Tribolium castaneum: one gene and its partner. The protein of the gene in region 2 interacts with the protein of the main gene of each other region in a biochemical or structural test. Links are inferred from orthologs where the notes say so. Each region holds a gene or a part of one and is shown on either strand. Other genes may lie near its edges.

Evidence for each region.
Region 1: the proteins of E3 ubiquitin-protein ligase MARCHF6 (region 2) and ubiquitin-conjugating enzyme E2 J2 form a complex in vitro, tested with the Homo sapiens proteins (2 studies listed by BioGRID, with this or other methods). The link is inferred for Tribolium castaneum from reciprocal best matches to the Homo sapiens genes MARCHF6 and UBE2J2.

Annotation. Positions count from the first base shown.
Region 1 is NC_087398.1:6,629,560-6,632,945, forward strand, and holds ubiquitin-conjugating enzyme E2 J2, read left to right. Parts: upstream 1-1,442; 5' UTR 1,443-1,749; coding exon 1,750-1,868; intron 1,869-1,914; coding exon 1,915-2,149; intron 2,150-2,196; coding exon 2,197-2,334; intron 2,335-2,386; coding exon 2,387-2,572; 3' UTR 2,573-2,628; coding exon of another isoform or gene 2,629-2,710; 3' UTR 2,711-2,886; downstream 2,887-3,386. Other genes in the region: solute carrier family 2, facilitated glucose transporter member 3-like, read left to right, coding at 1-278, 323-586, 632-844, 888-1,103, 1,152-1,283. UniProt on the Homo sapiens protein: Catalyzes the covalent attachment of ubiquitin to other proteins. Seems to function in the selective degradation of misfolded membrane proteins from the endoplasmic reticulum (ERAD).
Region 2 is NC_087399.1:3,029,882-3,034,497, forward strand, and holds the start of E3 ubiquitin-protein ligase MARCHF6, read right to left. Parts: upstream 3,055-4,616; 5' UTR 2,853-3,054; intron 1,652-2,852; 5' UTR 1,648-1,651; coding exon 1-1,647. Other genes in the region: elg1 (ATPase family AAA domain-containing protein 5), read left to right, coding at 3,392-4,616. UniProt on the Homo sapiens protein: Endoplasmic reticulum membrane-associated E3 ubiquitin ligase that plays a critical role in mitigating endoplasmic reticulum stress, the regulation of cholesterol and lipid homeostasis, and ferroptosis.

The DNA.
Region 1 (3,386 bases), on a different chromosome or scaffold from region 2:
TCATCGTGAGTTTTGTCAGTCCTTCAAGCACTTTCGAATTGCTGATTTTCGGAAGAGTCCTTCTGGGTGTGTCGGCCGGAATTAACAGTGGAATAGGACCAATGTACTTGGTCGAAATCTCGCCTCACTGCCTGCGAGGCTTTGCCGGGAGTTGTTATTACCTGATTGTGGCTTTATCAATTTTCATGGCTTATGTTTTCACCCATCCTACGATAATGGGGGAAATCGAGACGTGGTCTTATGTTTTTGTCGTGTCGGGATGCCCGATTATAATTCAGGTAAAACAGTGGTGTTTTAGAATTTGAAGAATGCTTCTTTTAAGTCTATAATGCTTATATTTTGTCCCGAAAGCCCCAAATACCTCATGTTCGATAAAGGGGATGAGGATAGAGCCGAGGACGCGGTAGCGGACATTGAAGGGGAAGAAATCGACGAAGAAATGGACGATTTGAGGGAAGAAATGGCCCTTTTGGACGAAATTGGACCAGTGACAATAGAACGGCTGTTCAAAGATGAGACTTTGAGGAACCCTTTAATAATCTCGGCTGTCGTCATGTTGGGACAACAAATGACAGGAGTTACCTGTGTAAGTGGGCAAATTTTTTGAACATATTTTAAACCGTGCCCTTAGTTGTTGTACTTTTCGTGCGTAATTTTCGAACACCTGGGCTTCGACGATTTCAAAGCCAACGCAATGGCTCTAGGTCTAGCTTTCGTGAACTGGTTTTGCGCCCTTGTGTGCGTATTTGCGGTGGACAAAGTGGGCCGCAAGCCTCTATTGCTGGCTAGTTATTTCGGTATGGTGCTAACAGTGTTTTGTTTTACTCTCACGATGATTCTAATGGTGAGTGATTGGGAAAAAATACAATTCTTCATTTCATTTTTAGTCAATTTCAGTGCGACCTAATCAAGCCATTGACACAATCGCCGTCGTTCTGATTTATCTATATGTGATGTTTTTTGCGCTTGGCGCTGGTACCATTGGGTGGTTCTTTACGGCAGAAATTTCGAACCATTTCGCCAGACCCATCACCGTTTCTATGACGGTGATGTTGTACTGGATCGTCCAACTTATTTTTGTTGGGTGCTTTTTACCTTTTTGGGTACCACGTTGGCGAATTTGGGGCAATTTATTAACGAGTTTTTTTTAGTTCATGATTCACACTTATACGTTTTTGTTTTACATTATATTCGATATTGCGACAGTTGCTTTTCTCTTACTAACGCTAAGGGAAACCGCAATGGTGCCTAGTGTCGATATCACGGAAATGTTTTATGATTAAACTTTTCGCCGATGTCACTTTTGAAAATAAATTTTTTAAAAAAACCTCACGATGATTATTTTACATGGGAATCCCCGTTCATGTGCCGCATTGTTGGTTGCCTACCCCACGGTGATAAATGATGAAATTATCAAATTTTTAGTACGGTTTCGTCTTTAAATTATTTATTTATTTAGCTTATGATTACTTGTGGGCCTTTGTAAAATTCTGTTTGGCTTTTTTGGCAGAAAAGTGTTACGTCAGATGTTTTCGGGACAGTTCACTCTCACGTCATTTGTCGCTTTACCAATTTTTCGGAAAAACTCAAAAAAATCACTTGTTGTTTATCACCGCCCCGCGCCCCCGTCCCATCCTCTCGACTTTGATTGATTACGTGCCCCGAGCGATAAACACAGATAAGAGGCACAAATTAAGTACGTTTTGAGTGCTCCTAACCTCACTTTCAAGAATGTACAATTAGTTGAAAATGTCGAATCGCAAGACAAATAGTGCCACTTCGCGACTCAAACAGGACTATTTGAGGCTGAAACGTGACCCCGTGCCCTACATTACCGCCGAACCTCTACCCTCGAATATCCTGGAATGGTGAGTGCTGAGGCACCCAAAAGGTTTGTTTTCGAGCCAGTTTTAGGCACTATGTGGTGTGCGGGCCGGAAAATACGCCATATGAAGGGGGCTTCTACCACGGGAAGTTGGTTTTTCCGCGCGAGTTCCCCTTCAAGCCCCCTTCTATCTATATGATAACGCCTAATGGGAGATTTCGGACTAACAAGAAGCTGTGCTTGAGTATATCGGACTTTCATCCAGATACGTGGAATCCGGCGTGGAGCGTCTCCACAATACTCACAGGGCTTCTCAGTTTTATGGTAATGAACTATTTCCCAATGTACTTTTTCGTAATTTTTTGGTTTAGCTTGAAAAGAGCCCCACTTTGGGGAGCATAGAAACGTCAGAGTACGACAAGCGGCAGTTTGCCTACCACTCGCTTGAATTCAATCTCAAAGACAAGGAGTTTTGTGATTTATTTCCAGACACAGTTACCAAAATCCAGGTTTGTATCTGGTTATGGGGGCTATGCGATGTTTTGACCTTTGTTTAAATAGGACGTGCTGACGCAACGGAGTAACATGAATAATAACGTGGCAGAGAACCAGAAAACCTCTCGGTCAGTAGCAGAACCCAGCAATTTCCAATCATGTATTACTAATTTGATAGTATTTATTGGTGTTGCTGCATTTGCGATTACGGTAAAATACGTAGTAATAACAACGGCGTCTGAAGCTGAATAGGGTTGATAATAGGGTTGAAAAAGTCACATTTTAAGTTTACTTTTCTTTGGTTTTAGTTTTCGCAATTGTCAAGAACGGCGCAGGATATTTAATCTTTGTAGGAAATTTAAGAGACTTTTTTCTAGAGCACACGTTTAGGGTTCTTTGTAGTTTCAGCTGAACTTTTTTACTTAAAACATTATCAACAGTTAACGAACCTAAATCTCTCAATGTAAATAACTTATGTAATATATCATAATCCTAGTATTATTGTTATTAATATTTGTATCATAATACATATTGGTTGTAATGATGAATATATTTTTTCCCATTTTTCCAAGTGTTTCATTTCACGCACCTATCACTTATCAAGCAAAAATTTGTTCAAATGCGTTGTTACTTCAAGATGTAATTGATGAGTAATAACAGGTGTTTGATATCCAAAAATCGTAAATGACTAATCGATAAAATAAAAAAAACAAAACAAAGCTGACTCAATTTACTACTCCACAAATCAAACGTTCATTGAAGTAGGAAAGTCCGCTTCAATTTTATATTCCGGAAATAGGCATAAGGCAGACAAATAGGAAACAAAAGAATGAAAATCGAGCAAATACGCTCGAAAAAAAAACACGAATATATTGAATATATTGGTATTTTCGGTTCAAAAGACTTACATTTTAAGCCAAAAACCTGCTGCAAAGCTTAGAAAAAACACCATTTTTGACCTTTCGTGGTTTACGAATGAGTTATTTGGGTTGCCTACACAAATTTTTATCAGTTGATCTCGTTGATCCTATCCACAGATCATTTCTCAATTTTTTTTATTAATATT
Region 2 (4,616 bases):
GCCCAACAAATACGAATGGATGTTTAAAATCCAGGCAACGGCGCGGCACCAATTACGCACCAGGCCTTTCAACCAGATCCTCGTGTGGGATTGTTCCAATAATGCTGGGAGGATCACTTGTAAAAGTAACAATTCTAAGGACAGTTCATTCACTTGTGTCTCACTGTTGAGGGACACTGTATATGGGAGAAAAGACGGAAGAAGGATTTTCAAAATTCGAATCGGGAGCCACAACATCAAAAGAACAACACTACCGAAGATAACCGCCGAGATCAACAATTTCCGTATATGTTCCAAGATAGGTAAATGGATCATTTCTTGAATTGGACTGAAATCAGGGTCGTTGAAGTTGCGCAAGAACCACAACACTCCTGGTCTTAGAATTTCACGCAAGAGGAGAACAAACGAAGCGAAATAATAGACATAGACCATTCCGATCAACCAATGGATGAAGATTGAAGTACCAGGAGCGGCACTAAAACTACTCTCCCTGTCTTTGAGCGAAGCGTCAAACATTGCCAAAGAGCAAATATCCAACCACCAGCCACAAACCAATGGTAGAATTCCGATTTCAACCACCGAAAGCATCGATACTTTAACCACCACGTAACACAAACCTAGGACGCGCTTAGCTTTGTAAAAACCCAAAACACCGGCGACTCGATGGAAGAACACAAAGAAAAGACCAACAGTGCAATAACCGACCAAAGTGGTCAATAAACCTTCGAAATGACTGGCCGAAGCCGCCTCCCTCATATTAACAAGGGAAAGAGTCATTAGACCCATATGGTACGGGGAGTAGGCAAAAATGAGTATAAACAAAGTGTTCAACGAAATGACCCAGAAAACGTGTTCCAGGAACATTAAAGAACCATCAAGACCCAACAAACGCTCCCATGTTATCTCCTCGGCCGCTCTATCCCACTCCATGGGTATCCAATTGTTGTCTTCGCCTCCATTCACTTCATTCTCCTCCTGTTGTTCCCCCTGATTCTCCCCTTGAGGTGCTACTTCTGGCTCCTGTCCGTTGTTCTCCTCCACGTCTTCCGGTATGTTGTTATTCAAGACGGGAGGTGGGGCATCTTCGGCCACGCCCACGTTATCTCTCTGTAACCAATCGGGTCCTCCCCCGTGTAAGATCTGCTCGCGCAGCCACACCAACCCAGCGAATGCGAATAGCGTGCACGTGACGACGAAGCAACCTTGGAAAATGTCCGATGCCAGGTTTTCCATTGAGAGGAGTTCAAACGGAAGGGTCAAGATGGCGTCGACAGTGCCGGCGAAAAGGGCGCGGTAGATCCGACAGGCTGTCAAAGGGACGATTCCGAGCCAAGCGATGGCGACTAGAGTGTAGTGGAGCCAGTATTTGATGGCGGTTCCGATGGAGGAGAGGAGACCGGCGGCGAGGTCTCGCACAGGGAGGCGGCGTGGCATGTCGGGGGAGTAGATGGGAGTGAAGGAGAAACGATAACTGCACAATTCGCAGTATTCTTTGCGCGAGTAACGCATCCATTGCATGAGGCATTCCTGATGGATCCACTTTATGCTGCCCGTGCAGATGCAGGGGTGGAACAGGGGGCGGTCGGGCAAGCCTTCCGAACGGCACACCCGGCAGATGTCGGTGTTGGACAGTTCCGAGTCCATCATTACGCTGAAAAGACACAGTAAAAAAAAAAAGACAGTAACTCAAATATCAAAAAACATTCCTAAAAAATCAGAGGGGAGCTGTATTTTCTCCAAATATATTTGGTTAATATTTTAACTATACTAGATCAAAATTTGTACTAAACAGAAAGTTTTGGAAGTGGCCATGAAAAAGTTTGTGCAAAAACCAGAGTTTCCCGCTAATGCTCTCTCCACTAGATTCTCCCTCTATGCAAGTCCATTATTTTTCCCTTCTTTTTTTGGGAGCATTTCTGATGTAAATAAGTTTAAATCTGGCAACTCTTTTTTTTGACCTGCTATCAGGCACGAGCCACCCCATAATATGAAAAAAAAGAACAAACAAAACAGAAGCATAAATTACAAAAGATGAAGTTTTTTTCCGTTCCTGAAAAGTTAATAACAATTTAATAAAGCATAAAGCTGAAACTAGACCCCTCAAATGAGACAGAATGTTTTTACAGACTTAAATTATTGAATTTCTCGAAAAAACTGAGTTGTGTATCTCTTAACCTTGACCGTTCCTTGCGATTTTCTCATTCCCATGATTGTGATGCAATCGAACTGAATCAATTTTTAATTAGTCCGACCCTGTCCTTGGTCGATTTCTTTATCGTCCAATTCCGGAATAAACTGAATATTTGCATTATCTACGTTCGAAACGCGACGACACCCATGAGAACAATTGAATTGAAAACAAAACAAACCTCCCACTTTGTACTTTGTCGTTATTCATTTGTTTTTCGGCAAAACAAATCGATTTTTTGCGTTCACAAATCAACTGATTTTATCTCAAGGTTACTTTTGCAATTAGAATAATAAAAAACGTTTGTTGTTAGTTAATTATGCCCAAAAACTGATAAAAAACGCATTATCTGTAGTGTGACAGACACAAGGGATTTATTTTTAACATAAAAATCTGGGAATTGTTCCAATGATTCACTTGGCCGTATCAAAGTTCCCCCAATCGTAAACACGGATTTTTCAAGTATATTGAGCCCCCATTGATGCAGTTATGTAAATTAGCAATTAGCAGGCCATGTGTTGGGGGCAGAGACCTCGAATGGCCCACATTTTCAATCCACCGATAAACGAAATTATTATCAAGGGATTACAACTCACACTAATTGATTTTTTTTTGATTAGTTAATAAGAATCAACACAATAAACAAGCTGGGACAAAAAATTACCTGATGTTTTTTGGCACAGGAAACTACTTGAATGTGAAGAACATTATGTAATTTACGGATCCGACTCAAAGATCCATAGTTGCGTGATCACAAATGCTCGAAATTCGACAAAAACTGCAATTTTTTAGGCGTTTTGAGGCTTTTCAGGACGAAAAAATTTATTTTTTGACGTAATACCACAAGACTGACGTTTACTTTCACTCAGGAAGCCAACTGTTGGCTAGTTCGGGAAAAGACCAACCTGACAAAACCACCAGTCACTAACACAAATAATGAGTTGTGCGGGGTTTTACCCTGATATTTTGACTTAAAACAACCCAGTTTCGTATCAGTAAAGATCACAAATCGCGTAATATCAATTGTGGGGCTTGGTTTGTGAATTACACTTAATTTCGTGTTACGTAACCTTAGCCACAAGAAACCTAACCTTAAAGTCTACAAAAAATGTCAACAAAGCGCTGATTTGGCGCCAAGTTTTTTGTATTGTGTTTTAGTGCAGTTTTTAGTGTGTTATCGAAGCAAAACATGATTTAGGAACAATGAAAGATTCAACTCCAATAAAGACCGGTAAAAAATCAAAGAAAAACAAGCACACCAATGAAGAAACCCCCGAAACTTCCCCAAATGGGGCTAAAATCAACGCGTTTCAATTTATGATGAATCGAAGACATCGGAGCATTGGGGGGAATTCCCCTGGGCGTGAACCTGACGCAAACGACTCGGAAACAGCCTCGGATAAAAGTGTCTTAAAGGAGAGGAAAAGTCGGTTTGAGAGCTGGGCGGAGGCCAAGGGGGCTGCCAAACGTAAACGAGAGTACGAGGAAGTCGGCAATTGCATCAGTTACAAGCTGGAGAAACGGGGAAAACGATTGAAAAAGTTGCTAAATATTGATTGTCAAAGTGACGATGAGGTGGTCACTAAAAGGAAGAAGCGGAAAACTGTTGTAATTGAAAGTGACAGTGAGAACGAGGCACCAAAAACACCAACTGCCAACAAAAAGTGGAAATTTAAGATCAAGTTGGCCGTGGATGACAGGAGTGATGTTGAAAATTCGTCTGTCAACAGTCAACGAAATGTTGAAAATGCCCAAGGAAGTGTTGAAAATGCCCAAAAAAGTGTTGACAATGCCCCAAAAAGTGTTGACAATGCCCCAAAAAGTGTTGAAAATGCCCAAGGAAGTGTTGAAAATGCTCAAGGAAGTGTTGAAAATGCCCAAGGAAGTGTTGAAAATGCTCAAAAGAGTGTTGAAAATGCCCAAGGAAGTGTTGCAGACGTGGTGATAGTTGAAAATGCCCCTGTCAATACGCAGTCTAGTGACAGTGGCATTGACGTCATCGAACTCGACGTGGACCCAGCCAACTCTGTTTCCGACGAAAATGCCTCACGCAGAGTTTTACGATCCCGAAAACCGAAAAAATACGATGATTTTCTTCAACTTTCTGATTCGGACGATGAGAAGAAGAAGAAGACAAAAGTGGCACCAGTTTTCTTAAAAGCTGTTCCAAAACCAAAATTAGATCCGGAAGCAATGGAAGCAAGAAGACAGTTTTTGATGAGTGGTGTTCCGTCTTCTTTGAAAAAAGAGATGGAAAAGGTGCGAATTTTTAGTACTGAAGAATCGGATTTTGATATTTTCCCGTCGTTAAGTCACGTCCAGCAAAAATCCGACAATATTTTCTGGGATTTACCCAAAGTTGATTTAAAGCTGGCAAACGTGGAGGAAAAAATGCAATTTATTTCTCCACTTGTCGAAAATTTAATAA